Caenorhabditis elegans: one gene and its partner. The protein of the gene in region 2 interacts with the protein of the main gene of each other region in a pairwise test. Each region holds a gene or a part of one and is shown on either strand. Other genes may lie near its edges.

Region 1 (7,757 bases), on a different chromosome or scaffold from region 2:
TGTGTAGGAATACTGTAGACTGGAGTACTGTAGGGTTACTGTAGTTTTGAAAAAAATGAGTTTTTGTTTTTTGAAGGAATATCGATATGGGGTTTTTGGAGTGTCGTCGAGTAGCAAAAAACATTTCAGCGGGATTTTTTCAATTTTTCAAATAATTTTGGCGGGAAACTTAATTTTCTTTGAGAAACTACCGCACTACTATGTAGATATACGGAACTTCTATAAAATTCGAGACATTTCTGTAAGATTGCCCAAAAGGCAATTTAACTGGATTATATGTATACATTTTCAAATTAAATTTTTTTGGAAAAACCAAAAAAAATACCTATTCAATTTTGCCCGACATATTGTTTTATTCAAAAACTTACAAAAACACCATAGGAGTTGCGTAAAACAAGTATAAAGTTGAAAATACTCCATCGGCAATTGCCAAACCAACAGTTAAAATAGCAAATGGTTTTTGCAATTTTGTAACCTTTATCATTAATATTACGATCGCCCAATTTGTGAAAAACCCGCATGAAGAAAACTGAAAAAAATATTGCTAAGTTGGAGAAAAAAAGTTCGAATTTCAGCTCACCACAATCATAATTGCAGCAACTATTTTTTCCGAGATCATATTTCGAAACAGAAAACAAGTATCCTAGACCAATAGATATTTTGACCTCAATCCACTTCTATTTATTGGGTGGAGTCAGTGCCACACCTGCCATTTAACGAGTACCTGCAATGAACCGAGCTCTGAGTTGATTAAATAGAAGTGCATGACAGAGTGAGGTAGAGATGTTTTGATTTTTCAATCGGTTAAGGTTTGTATTGGAGATTTTTTCGTAGACATATTATTTAAGCTGTTAAAAAAAATTTAATAAAATTCATGTTGTTCAGAGAAAATTCCTAATGTACGTATTACTCATCGTTTATTATACCCCTAACAGAACAATTAACTACCACCCTTTCTTGTTTACGTGTAATCGTCTCCCCACACAGTTTAAATATTCTCTAGTTTTTTGTTTGGTTTCACACACAAGAAACAATTCAGAAAGAATTAAAAATGGATGTTTCAAAAATACTGTTTTATATATACTATAGATTTGGGAAGGATGCAAGTTTGAATTCCCTTCCAATTAATTTCCTTCCACTCATTTTTGAACCAATCAACTTGACACAGTTTATCTGATTGGCTCCAGAAGAGTGGGAGGAACGAATCACTGATTGGCCTTACTGTTTTCATTTTGGGGGAAATTCAAACTGGGAGTTCATTCATACTCAAATTTAAATTGGAAGTCTAATATGAAAATATTAAACTTCCGTGGTGATAAAAACAGAAATCCTTTTTGTGCTCCATATAATTAAAATTTAATAAACTAGCTGGCAAATAAGTGGCGCAATTACCAGATTTTTTGCTTTGATTTTTGCATTTTCTATTCATTTTTGGTTATCTTATAAAACTATACATTGATGTACAATTTATCTAAGGAAAAGGAACAAAACCATTGGAGCACGCACAAAGTACCATATTTACGATTTTTTTTGATTTTTTTCCACTTTGATGATTTTCTTGCAGCTTGTTCTTAGAAGATGGGAACAAATGTGACTTTGATCATGCAAATCATAAATTTAAAATGTACATATTTTTTCTTTACAAGCACATGTTCTGAACCAAAATTCATGATATAAAAATAACTCAGTTCCTAAAACCCTAGACAATGACAATTGGCTTGAGCATTACAATTCCACTAACAAAGACCTCTATTCTTAATCCAATGCAGCCGATTTCGATCTAACAACGTTGAATGCCAGTGGCTGGCCGCTTCTGGAACAGCTCCTTCGGATTTCTGGATTGAAAATCAATGTGAAAAACCTAAATTAGAACTTTTTGAGTATTTAGAATATTTACAATTACCCATCAAACATATGCACTGAAGACCAGAGAATAGAAGAGAAAATAAAGGTGTAATCAATGTCTGGAATAAAACGCGGACCCCAAGTAAAACTACAAACGATTGCAAGAACAAATAGAGTTTGGCTTATGGACTGAAATTATTATTTAAAACAATCTATAAAGATCAATATTACCTGTTTCAACAAGCTAAGTTCTTTTGAGTGCTTTTCTGTTTTTGAGCTAATTTTTAACACTTTTCCGATAGCTAAAAAGTCCAAAATAGTACTGGAAATAGTCAATGAAAAAACAAGATAAAAGTCTAAATAAGTTGCATAAAAACGACAAACGTCTCCTCCAGAATAACGAAATGCTCTTGTTTCTTGGTCATAAAAATTTTGACATCCCACTGCAACTCTCCCGTCAATTTTAGTTGACATTAAACTAACCTACAAATTTGAAAAAATAGTGTTATGATTGTAAGTGCGTAGGAATAAATTCCCATTACTATACAAAACGTGAACAAAACACTAAACATCATACGATAAAGCATTGGTTTATACACTGCTAGAATTCTGTTAAGGGATATCATGAAATGAAAAGTTGTTGAAGCACTGTAGCAAATCATAAGAACATATCCACAAACACTCGAATAATTTGATAAAATATCGCTCTCGCTGAATGGAATTTTTATTTTAACTGTTGGCCTCGCTGAATGAAAAAAAAAACTTGTTCAACTTACAAAAATACCATTGGAGTTGCATAGAATAAGTAGAGCGCGGAAAATGTTCCATCAGCAATCGCTAGACCAACAGTTAAAATTGCAAATGGTTTTTGCAACTTTGTAACTTTTATCATTATAATCACAATTGCCCAATTTATTGTAAATCCACAGAGGGAAAACTGAAGGTACATCAATTTGTTTGAGCTACAATAAAATCTTACCAAAAGCATAATTGCAGAGATTGTTGTCACGGAAATCATGATTGTAATTTGCAGCCAACAGGAAATGAAAAAGTTAATGTTATGAATGAGAGAGAAATATCTGGAAAAATTGAAACTTTCTTGTCAGGCTCGAGTCACCTGGGCCGGTGGCGTTCAGCTACAATACAAACATAGTTTCTTTCACATTTCGCATAGATACAATTTATTTTTAAAAAATCCGTTAGGCTATTAACTAAATGTTTTTATACCTAATTTTTTAAACTTTGAAATGTGTTTCAAAGTGAGTTCAAAACTAAAATTTCAAACTCTAGAGATCCCGGAAGCTAGGAAATCCCAGAAGCGAGGCAGCAACCACTGTAGCTCTATACAATCAAATCGAAAAAATGTTCGGGTCTGAAAACCAACTTATGTCATGCATGACAAATCATGTAAATTAAATTAGAGTCGAAATTTGTCGTTCTTACATGTCTACGTGTCTATGTGGTTCATTGATTCTTTTGATTTTCGATTAGCTAGAACGGTTCAAAAATTTAAACAAAATTAAAAGATAAATCTTATAAAAATAGATTGCTTATCGCTGTTTGCCCTTGAAAACTAGTTCTCATGTGCGAACCTTGCGTGAACAAGGTCATAGAGCAAACTCAAACAAGACCTCTCTTCTTTGCTTGCGCAATACTACAATTTATTCCTGTATTAGCTCGGAGTTTTTTAGTGACTCGATAGCTTACTTGAAGCTTTAGGCGAACGCTTTTGCGCGCGGCCGCAAGAGAGAGTCACATTTAGAAGAGGATCAGGAAATTAGGAACTGGAACCGGTTTACTGAGCAGCTGGAAAAGTCATATAAAAGAGAAGAACAGAGCTTCATTACCATCCGATTTCCTCGGTTCGAATCATTATTAAAATGCGCTTTACTTCACTTTCTATTGCGTTCCTTGCATGTGCCCTTGTGGTATCTGGAAGTGCAATCCGTGAAAAGAGACAGTGTGGATGTGCTCAGCCACAGCAGAGCCAATGCTCGTGCCAACAAGTTCAACAGACTCAGTCATGCTCGTGCCAATCTGCTCCAGTTCAACAACAATCCCCATCCTGCTCATGCGCTCAGCCACAACAAACTCAACAAGTTCAGGTACAGTTCATTAACATATTCGCAAACCATTAAATCAAAAATTTTAGGTTCAATCTACTCAATGCGCCCCAGCTTGCCAACAGAGCTGCCAACAGCAATGCCAGGCTTCTCCATCAGTGTCCCAGTGCCAGCCACAATGTCAGCAACAGTGCCAGGCTCAATGCACTCCAATGTACAACCCACCAACCACTACTACCACCACCCAAGCTCCAGTTGTCCAATACCAACAGTGCCAACCAGTATGCCAACAGCAATGTCAATCTACCTGTGTTCAACAACAACAACCAGCAGCTCAATGTCAGCCACAATGCCAACAACAATGCAATGTTGCCTGTGATTCCCCATCCACTACCACCCAGGCCCCACAAGTGATCCAAATCCAACTCGAGATCCAACAAGCTCAAGCTCAATGCCAACCACAGTGCCAGCAACAATGCCAATCTTCATGTGTCCAGCAACAGCAACAATCCAACCAGTGCGAGCCAGCTTGCAACACTCAATGCTCTGATATCTGCCAACAAACTGCTCAGGCTACCCAACAAGTCTACAACCAGAACATGAACCAGAACACCAACACTCAAATGTACAACCCATACAATACCAACACCAACCAGAACGCTAACTGCGCTCCAGCTTGCCAACCAGCCTGCGACAACTCCTGCACTTCCCAGCAGACTCAGCCAATGTACCAACCATACGACACCACCACTGAAGCTCCAGCTCAAGTCATCCAGATTGTTCTCCAGACTTCTGTTGCTCAATCATCCCAATGTGCCCCACAATGCGAACAATCCTGCCAACAGCAATGTGTTCAGCAACAACAGCCAGCTGCCCAGTGCCAAACTGCCTGCCAATCATCATGCTCTAACTCATGCCAAGCTGCTCAACCAGCAACTACTGCCTGCCAGCAGAGCCCACAACAGAGCTCCTGCTCTTGCCAAGCTAACTACTCTCCATGCGGAAATGGACAATGCTGCCGCAGAAAGTAATTTAATTGTTCCTGATTCTTGATTTTTGTATATACCGAAACAATTCAGTTTCAATAAACGCATAACTTTTTAAACCTTCTCGCTTTAAAAATCTGACGTGACATAAAAATAACCAGAATAAACCAGTTGTTTTCGAAACACAACATGTTTATTTAAAAACTGTTAGCGTCTCTTCTTCGACTACATTTTTAGAAAATCTCATAAACATTTGTTCAGTTGGCATTGATACAGGTTTACGTATGTTCTATCTATTTCTGTACTCATTGAAAAATGCTCTCATCAAAGAAATATTTATAGAAAAGTTAGATTTACAAGAATTTTCTAGCTCGCCAGCAGGAGTTTAGAAACTAGAGATTAAAAAAAAAAAGCTCACTGATGAAGTATTTTAAATTCAATTTAGTTTCAAATCGTTTAGGTTCACGACTTTACGTGTTTCACTACCACACTGTTCCTTCATTACGAAAAATGTAATACGACCTTAGAAGTTAAAATTTATTTTAGCTTACAATTAAAATTGCTACATACTTTTTCTGATAATACTTGCGAGTGATAACTTTATAGCGATATATCAAAAATGTTTTCCATTTTCATTAAAATTAGTTTTACTTTTTTAGACAATCTGGTATCTTGATATGCAATACTCGTTACATTATTATTTCAGGCATTCACTTTAATAATATTTCACTGTTTCCGATAGTAATGATTATGCTAGTTTGTGAACCACTTTTCATTATACAGTGAAAACTTTGAGATTCTGGAAGACACTTTTTAAAAAGTTATGCGTTTATTGAAACTGAATTGTTTCGGTATATACAAAAATCAAGAATCAGGAACAATTAAATTACTTTCTGCGGCAGCATTGTCCATTTCCGCATGGAGAGTAGTTAGCTTGGCAGGAGCAGGAGCTCTGTTGTGGGCTCTGTTGGCAGGCAGTAGTTGCTGGTTGAGCAGTTTGGCAGGAGTTAGAGCATGATGATTGGCAGGCAGTTTGGCACTGGGCAGCTGGCTGTTGTTGTTGAACACATTGCTGTTGGCAGGACTGTTCGCATTGTGGAGCACATTGGGATGATTGAGCAACAGAAGTCTGGAGAACAATCTGGATGACTTGAGCTGGAGCTTCAGTGGTGGTGTCGTATTGTTGGTACATTGGTTGAGTCTGCTGGGAAGTGCAGGAGTTGTCACAGGCTGGTTGGCAAGCTGGAGCGCAGTTAGCGTTCTGGCTGGTGTTGGTATTGTATGGGTTGTACATTTGGGTGTTGGTGTTCTGGTTCATGTTCTGGTTGTAGACTTGTTGGGTAGCCTGAGCAGTTTGTTGGCAGATATCAGAGCATTGAGTGTTGCAAGCTGGCTCGCACTGGTTGGACTGTTGCTGTTGCTGGACACATGAAGATTGGCATTGTTGCTGGCACTGTGGTTGGCATTGAGCTTGAGCTTGTTGGATCTCGAGTTGGATTTGGATCACTTGTGGTGCCTGGGTGGTAGTGGATGGGGAATCACAGGCAACATTGCATTGTTGTTGGCATTGTGGCTGACATTGAGCTGCTGGTTGTTGTTGTTGAACACAGGTAGATTGACATTGCTGTTGGCATACTGGTTGGCACTGTTGGTATTGGACAACTGGAGCTTGGGTGGTGGTAGTAGTGGTTGGTGGGTTGTACATTGGAGTGCATTGAGCCTGGCACTGTTGCTGACATTGTGGCTGGCACTGGGACACGGATGGAGAAGCCTGGCATTGCTGTTGGCAGCTCTGTTGGCAAGCTGGGGCGCATTGAGTAGATTGAACCTAAAATCATTAATTTAGTAGTGTTTGAAATAAATGCATAAAAGGTACCTGAACTTGTTGAGTTTGTTGTGGCTGAGCGCATGAGCAGGATGGGGATTGTTGTTGAACTGGAGCAGATTGGCACGAGCATGACTGAGTCTGTTGAACTTGTTGGCACGAGCATTGGCTCTGCTGTGGCTGAGCACATCCACACTGTCTCTTTTCACGGATCGCACTTCCAGATACCGCAAGGGCACATGCAAGGAAGGCAATGGCAAGTGAAGTAAAGCGCATTTTAGTAATGATTCGAACCGAGAAAATCGGATGATAATGAAGCTCTGTTCTTCTCTTTTATACTACTTTCCCATACCCCCACCCTCTGTACCAGACCTGAAACTTCTTGATTTCCGCTCTTCCGTTCACTTTTCGTCTATGTGTCTCTCATTCTCTTTCCGGCCAAACTGTTTGCCTTATAAAAAAGTGTTCGTGTAAAAAAAGGTGCGGTGAGCATTAGAATAAACTCTCTAATCAAACAAACGTGTGTCGAGGAAAAAGGTGAAAACTGGTATGTTGCAAATTGGAAACTTTAATTTTGGAATGTGATGTTCCTTGATCTACATTATGTTACGGAATCGTTTATCTGAAGTGAATTTTTAACGCTGTTTTGTTTTCTTAAAGTTTCGGAAATATTTTATTTTAGGTTTTATTCAGCTTGCGGCCTTCCTTCAAATCTATACTGCTATGGAAATTTTGAAATTATTGTATCTTTTTTTATTCTATCGGTGGCGAACTATACCTCTTTTTATTTAAAATTTACAAATGACTGGTTATGAAGTTGAGACAAGTGAGCGTTTAGTTTCTAACTGACAACTTGTTATATCGTGCTGCAATTTGACAGCTTGGGAAGAATGTAGACAACAAATGTGTTATTTGCCAAATTTGAGAAAATACGTGTTCTAGAAAAATAATTTTCGATTTGAAAAATACTTAAATTATTTTGAAATTTTAGTTTCTCATTTTAATTTGGTTGAACATAATTTGTTATCCTCTCTTGTT
Region 2 (7,443 bases):
ATAAGCATTGCAGTTATATCAAGAAGGTTGTACCTGAAGATTGGCCAGTCCAATACCCAACAGCTACAAACCCGTTCCACGAGGAGTTGGGAAATCAAGGATGTATTCATGAAACCGCTCAGTATCTTTCCCAATTCATCAACATTCACGACGCGAATTTTGTCGAAAAACTAGACATTGATGTCAAATACTGGTCTCAGCTCTTCTCTATCGAAAAGTTCAGACACATCCGAAATCTCAGAATAGTGCACAATGCGCCTGGATCAACACATTGGTGGCTGAACAGAATTAACACAATGCGAACTATTCCAGAAGTAACAATTGCGCGAAACTATACTGGAGACTTTGTTGAGGAAAAGGAGTATCGTAGTAGAAGAAATGCAGTCATGCACCATGAAGTTATGCCGTACGTGATTCCATTCGAAGAACGTGAGATGCCGAATTGGGTAGAGAAGACTTCGTATTGCAATTATCCGGTAAGATATTTTTAAAATATTATGCCGATTTAAATAAAACATCGTATTTTCAGATCTTCTGGGCGAAACGAATCATCTTTGAGAATACTATTGAGAACCCTCTTACCGATTTGGCAAGAATGAGCTCGTTGGCTGAGGTCAACTTAAACCGTTATATTCTTCCGAATTCGGAACTTCTCGAATTTCTCCAAATGTGGTCAAACGGACAGATGGGTCACCGTCTGCGGAGTGTCACTATCAATCTCGATTGCCCGTTATCAAAGAGCGAACCGATTTTGAATGGTCTCCAATATTCGAAGACAAGCGATATTGAGTTGTGAGGAATCAGTTCTTTGTGGCAGTTTTGATTATTCTTAATTCAGATCGTCTCCGCTTACGAAGGCTGTTGAAAAGAACAACTATATTTCGTACGTTCTATATCGTGAGTGGAAAGTGTTGCGTCCCGATGGCCTGCAATCGACACGTGGTTTTCAAAAAGAATCTCTTTCGTCTGGGTATGGAAGCTCTCTTCCTGGTTCCGGACCTTCGACTCCTCCATCGGAATCAAATATAGAAGAAGCAGGAGTTACTCCGACGAACGCCGAATCCAAAAACATGTCCTCAGGGCAGCACAGTAAACAAAACTCAAGTGATGAGACTCAATCTCGAGGTTTATTTCTAGATAATTATTTCTAGTTAAAAGTTGAATTTTTAGACCGATCTGGTTCGGGTGTATCAGGAACTTCATCGAATGGCGAGGTATCATCTACTCCGGGTAGGACTGTTTGGCACGGAGGTGCGTGTGCATTGCTCCAGATTTCCCAAGATAAGAAGAACATTTTGTTCACGGCAATTCACAACGAGAAGTTCGCATGCGAACTTGCTAGATTCCGCTTTTCTACATCTAAATAAATGTCCACCAACATTCATTTAAAAATTGTATCTATCGTTGTATGATAACTAATCTTTAAAATTTTTCCGACTTCCAATTGATCGCAAGTTTGTGAAACCATAAATAGCTTAACCCTGTATTTTATTTTCTTTATCAGAAATGCCTTTCGCGATGTTTAGCGAAATAATTTGGGTATCAGAATAGGAAGTTAGTTTCTGCTAATAATGTTTCAAATTTGATTTCGGAAGAGCAAGTAGATATATTAATGATTGTATTCAAGTTCTGTAGCTTTGTTCTAAGGTCCACTAAAGACGTATAATATTTTGTAGACTGATTATTTCACTATTCAAAAAAGTGAGAACTATACAGGTGTATATATTCAAACGTTTCGGGCGAAGTTTTTCTTTAATAACTTTTTTTTCTGATTCATAATTTGCGCCATCATCTTACTTTCTTGTTAATGGAGATGTATCATGAAGTTTTTTATAACAACAACATTTATAACACAAACAACGAGTGTTTAGGCTTGTTGTCCAGAGGATCTGAGGCTGGTGGCGATTCTGTCAAGATCCTTGCGTCCCTGCAAAATTTAGTTTTAGTACGATGTTGAAAATTTCGAGAAAATTCAAAAAAGAAAACATGCAGAAATTTAATTTTAATATAAACATCTAATTTTGCATGTTTAATTTTCAGCGCATATATTTATGAATAATTTTTAATAATTTATTTTTACAAAAAAGTTCGAATTTTATATTTTTAGATAATAAAATAGAATACTCACCTGCTTGGAGAGAATTCTTCCTTTGCCGTCTGGGTGCTTCTCAACCCACTTGATCTTCTCGAGTTGCTGAACAGCCTTTCTGAGGCAGTTTCCAGCTGAGGTTTGGAAATGGTTTGGTGCAACACCACGTCTCTTGTTTCCTCCGTAGACCTTCTTGAAGGCTCCGATTCCTAAATAGAAAAATAAGTAATGATTTTGTCAATAAAAAGTTACCGGCGGGGCGGAAATACAAGTGACGAGCAAGACTGGCAGCACGGGTGTAGAACCAATCTGGATCGACTGGGGCAAGCTCCTTGTTGACTCCGAGCTTAACAAGATCGGACCACTCTGGAACCTTAACCTTTCCACTCTTCTTCAAGAAGTGAGCGATGGACTTGGTAGCCTCGTGCTGGTCGACGTCCTTGATGGAGGTCGCTCTCGTCATTTTACCTGAAAAGGAAAAGTATAGCTTTGAAAAAATCGTATATTAGAAGACGGAAAGAAAACCCACTGCCAAAAAAACTATTCTTAACAACAAGCGCTTCAGAAAGTGGATATTATTTAAGAAAACTGTAAACGTAACATATTTCCTCCCAATCAATACATAGAAACTCGAAAAACCGTGAAAATCGCGTCAAAAAATTGAAAAAACCTGTAGGAAAAGAAACGAAAAAATTCTTCACCGCTGATCGTAAGACATAACCTGCATACCAATTGGCTGCGTAGCGACTCGGCACGCGACCGCAACGCACCGGGCGACACTCAGTACATTTTTTGAACAGCGGGGGCGGGCGTTTGAATTGAATTTTCAAACGATTTTTTTTGACGTCGTAACTTTTTGTTTCGCAGACACTTTTACGCTTAAAATGGCAAAATTAAACACATATGTTACAGCATAGACTTGAAGAACTGAACTGCTTGGAGGAAAATGGCATCGTCTTCGAACACTATGGGTAATTTTTTCGATATAATAAGAATGTGAAAGGTTAATTAATATTTTTGCGGGTCAAGCATATAAAATTCAACCTTATTGAAATTAAGGTGGTCACTCGAAGTGAATATCGACTCTAAAAATTAAACTTAACTTACGTGAAGTTTTCCTTTTATTTTCTGTTTTCAGAATTCGAAGAAGACGACTCCACCGTCACACAGACAAGGTTACCTGCTTTTCGAGTATCCATACATATTTATCCCACTATTTCAGCCTCCCCACAACAACTTCAGTTCTGGATAAAAGTAGGAGTCTTTTTGGGAACTCTGCTGTGATTTCTGTAAGTCCAGTGTGTTTGTATTAATCTAAAATTTGCTTACTTAGACCCCAGCTAGAGATTCAACTCCTGATGGGCACATAGTCGATTCGAGTGTCATTACCAAGTCATCAGTTATCATAGAAGCGGAAGACGAGCCAGATGTAGCTGCCGATGTTACTGCACTTGATAAAGAAAAGGCAGAAGATGAGCCACAATGTTCAGCCGGTAAGGATGCTAAATCTGGAGAAAGCATGAACGACTCGGAAAAGTCTGAATCACCAATTGAAGAAGGAGAGGGAGAAACTTTCGAGAAAAAAATTATCTCGATGGATACTAGTGACGATAAATTAGACATTGCTGAATCGATTTCTGTTTCAAATGATACCGAGAAACCTGAAGAAAATGAAGAAAAGGTGGTTGGAGATGAAGATGAAGAAGATATTGATGATGTGCAAGAAGACGACGAAGACGAAGCTCCAAAAAAGAAAACTAAGGTTTGTTGATAATTCGAAAAACCTAATTTTAATCAATTAATATTGAAGAAGGCAGTGTCAACGTCAGATGACGACGATCTGCATGAAGATGATTCTCCAAAAGGAGGTAGTGTGAGCGACGAGAAAGAAGAACCAGAGAATGAGGACGATACAGAGGAACCCGAAAATGAGGTTGAAGTAGAAAGTCCAGTGAAAGAGCAAGCAGATAGTGGTGAACCTATTGAGAATGTTAATGATGACAAGGCGTCTGAACCAGGCGTTGGTGAGATTTCACAAGACAGTGTTGATGATTCTCAAAAAATTGGTCTCGATTCAAAATCGCCAGATGGAGAATCAGAAGCAAATGAAGAGAACCAAGAATCTCAATCTTCTAGCCGCAGCACTCGTCGCGCTAAAAGAGTTTCAGCAACTGTTTCGTCTACTCCTTCGTCAAACACTCCACGCCGTGGTGGTCGTGGGCAAAAATCGGAAGTGAATGCAGATGAAACGAAAACGCCCATTGTTAGTAACAGCACCCCCAGGCGTGGTCGATCTTCCAGGGGTGGAGACAGAGATGAAGTAATTGATCCTACGGAGAATGTTGTTGGCGACTCTGGCGTTGAAGAAACATCACCGCGCAAGGGAAGATCAAGACGCTCTGTTGCAACAGAAGACACATCTGTCACCGAGGAAGTTGAAAACACGGAACATCCAACTGAAGAAGAAACTCCGAAACAGGGGCGTGGAAGACGTTCAGCTGCATCTTCTTCAGCAACTTCGTCTGCAGTGCCAACACCGCGGTCCACAAGAGGAAGAGGAAGAAAGTCGCAAGCAAATGAGGAAAACTTGCAAGAAAAAGAAACCGAAGACCCTACAAAAACTCACGATACAAACCAAGCGAAGTCCACCCGAACTCCGCGAGGAAGGCGTTCTAATGCTGATGCTGAAACTATGGAAAGTGTAGAAGCTGAGAAAGTCGAAACTCCAACATCATCTCGTAGATCTACAAGGGCTAAGCCTCCTGCAAAATCTGCTCCGGTGACGCCGGCTGTGACAAATAAACGAACGACAGTTCGTGGAAGAAAGAAGCAAGGTTCTATCACAGAAGACCCTATCGAAGAAGCTGATGAGACTATTGAAGAAACTCTACCACAAAAGAAAGGTCGTGGAGCAGCTAAAAGTGCGCCTTCATCGAGCAAGAAAAGTGCAGAATATGATCCATATGATCTTGATACTGAAATGGAGCATCATCCAGAACCTTTGAAGAATATTCACGTGAGAATTAAAAATTAATGTTTATCTGTAATTTTGCTTGTTTTCAGATGGAAGTGCACAATTTTGGTGCTGTCAAGTATGCCAAATTGGGTAATTCAGAGTCAAAGTATTCTATGACAGAGAAGGCGGCAGAGTCTAGAATTGCTGAGTTACAATGTAAGTTGTTTTGTAGTTTCTTGAAATTAAGAATATCTATGCTTTCAGCTTCTCCTGCTGCTAAGAATCGGCGTTCTCTTGCTGATATGACTCCTGGTAAAGATAAGATGAAGCATAGAGTATCGTCTGTAGGAACTTCGGGAAGAAGATCAAGAGCTAAAAAGGAGGAAGAACATCACGAAAATGATATTGAAATGGAAGATGCGCCTGCAACTGCTACCCCAGCTTCGTCAAATCGTGGAAGAAAGAGAAAAAGTGAAGCTTCTGACATCAAAACACCTCCGGCGAAAAAAGAACCAGTTATTCCTCTTAAAAATCTATCTGATGAGGATCAACTACTAGTTGATCATCCACAAGACGATAATGAACCTCATGCTCCTGGAGCTCGAGTCTACGCTGTGTTTCAGAAGATGTTTTATCCCGCTGTCGTTCTTTCGGAGCGTGATGGTCTCGGAAGATACAAGGTACAATTCACGGTTGATAACGTCATTAAAGATGTTCCAAATTCTGGAATCATTCCACTTCGCGCTTTATCCCCTGGCAAAACTGCAGTCTACAACGAATCCGATGTTCGATTGGATTCTGGTCCTAACGATATTAGTGCTGCGGAATGGAAAAAAGGAAAATTAACCATATCGATCATGGATGAAGATGGGGAACCAACTGACGAAGTGAAGGTTGTTGATTGGTATGATGTTTCTTTCGATCATTCAGAATGGCGAGACTATGTTAAAAGCAAAGATCAAAGTGCTACGGCTATTGTTACGTCTAATATTACTACAATATCGGAGGCTACTCGTGCTCGTAAGCCAACTACAGTTTCTAATCAAGCAAAACCAAAAGGTCGTAAGAAGAAGGGAGTTGATCTAGTTTCCTCTAGAGGAGGATCAGCAAGTCCGGCTGAAGAAGAAGAAAAGCTTTTGCCAATGAACGAGGAAGCTATTGGAAAGAACATTTTCACCGGAAAGGTCTTCATGCTAACTTCGGCCAATCGTTCAAATTCTGCGAGTGTTCCTTCAATGTTCAAAAAGAAGAATCTGATGAACTTCATTACTCAGAATGGTGGGATCGTCACGGAGCAGCTTAATGTAAGATAACGTCTTACAAATAACATTCTAATCATTTTATTTTAAGAGCTTCCAAGAGCGTTACTCCAACTACGAACCATTGCTGATTTCTGATACGTACTATCGTACTCACAAGTACTTGGCAGCTTTAGCTCGTGGTGTTCCTTGTGTTAACAATACATGGTTACAAGCATGTGGTGAACAGGGGAAATGTGTCGACTATACGGACTATGTTCTTCCTGCAGGTGCTTCAATTTTTGACGAGTCTCAGGATATGCCAGCGTAAGTGAACTTTCATGATGAATGATTTCAATTCCGTTAGATTTTTGATTTTTATAACGATTCTGAAAATTCTGATCATCGAAAACATTTAAGGCCCAAAAATCCATCAGAGCTTTTGAAAGGAACAACAATTTATGTACACTCAACTCACTCAGCTCGTGAAGTAACACAAACTGGACCCGGAGGAACTTTCATCGAGATTTGGAAACCTATTCTTGAGCTTCTCGGTGCTGATGTAGTCGACGGAGACTGGGAAACTCTTGACGAAACAGGTCTCAAATTTGACGTTGTTTTAGTTGATGGAACTTTCCGTGACGAAGTCATGGAGTATGCAGATACTATTGGAGCAAGTAGAGTCACTTCCGAATGGGTTATCCAAGTGAGATTCCGTTTTCCTCGTCGTTTAATTGTTATACATTTTTCAGACAATAATTCTTGGCAAAGCTCCTGAGCCAAATGCTCATCCAAAATTCGATCCATACCGTCTGCATCACCGCACGCGTCATTGAATATCATCTCATCTCACCCCCTTTCCCCATTTCCCTTCTCATTTTGTACACTACGTTTTTATATCAACTTTTTAAATAACTATTCTACTTTCCCTACCGTGCTCCATCCGCTGAAATATCGTCGATCTCTTACTCGAAAATTTACCCGCTCAGTGTGCTGGTCAACAAGCGGTGACATTGTATGCGTATTCATTAACCATTTTTTGTGAATTTTTGAGCTCTTCCCAATTTATTATTATAGAACTGCATTTTCTAAGCCCCTGTTTTGAAGCTCTTCCATCTTTTTTAAATCACGATCATCATTCCTTTCCCAGTTACTTCTGC

Evidence for each region.
Region 1: the proteins of rps-19 (region 2) and abu-15 interact in a two-hybrid assay, tested with the Caenorhabditis elegans proteins (one large-scale study listed by BioGRID).

Annotation. Positions count from the first base shown.
Region 1 is NC_003283.11:5,154,898-5,162,654, forward strand, and holds abu-15 (Activated in Blocked Unfolded protein response), read left to right. Parts: upstream 1-3,704; 5' UTR 3,705-3,725; coding exon 3,726-3,950; intron 3,951-3,997; coding exon 3,998-4,939; 3' UTR 4,940-5,010; downstream 5,011-7,757. Other genes in the region: srx-38 (G-protein coupled receptors family 1 profile domain-containing protein), read right to left, coding at 369-529, 581-619; srx-39 (G-protein coupled receptors family 1 profile domain-containing protein), read right to left, coding at 1,756-1,861, 1,904-2,034, 2,077-2,288, 2,333-2,556, 2,622-2,782, 2,825-2,863; abu-6 (Activated in Blocked Unfolded protein response), read right to left, coding at 5,781-6,722, 6,771-6,995.
Region 2 is NC_003279.8:9,623,240-9,630,682, forward strand, and holds rps-19 (Small ribosomal subunit protein eS19), read right to left. Parts: upstream 2,558-7,443; 5' UTR 2,553-2,557; coding exon 2,342-2,552; intron 2,299-2,341; coding exon 2,129-2,298; intron 1,928-2,128; coding exon 1,868-1,927; 3' UTR 1,829-1,867; downstream 1-1,828. Other genes in the region: T05F1.2 (F-box associated domain-containing protein), read left to right, coding at 14-476, 530-792, 839-1,125, 1,171-1,367; Protein hsr-9, read left to right, coding at 3,036-3,060, 3,228-3,264, 3,312-3,378, 3,423-3,851, 3,900-5,105, 5,153-5,261, 5,310-6,349, 6,396-6,610 and 2 more.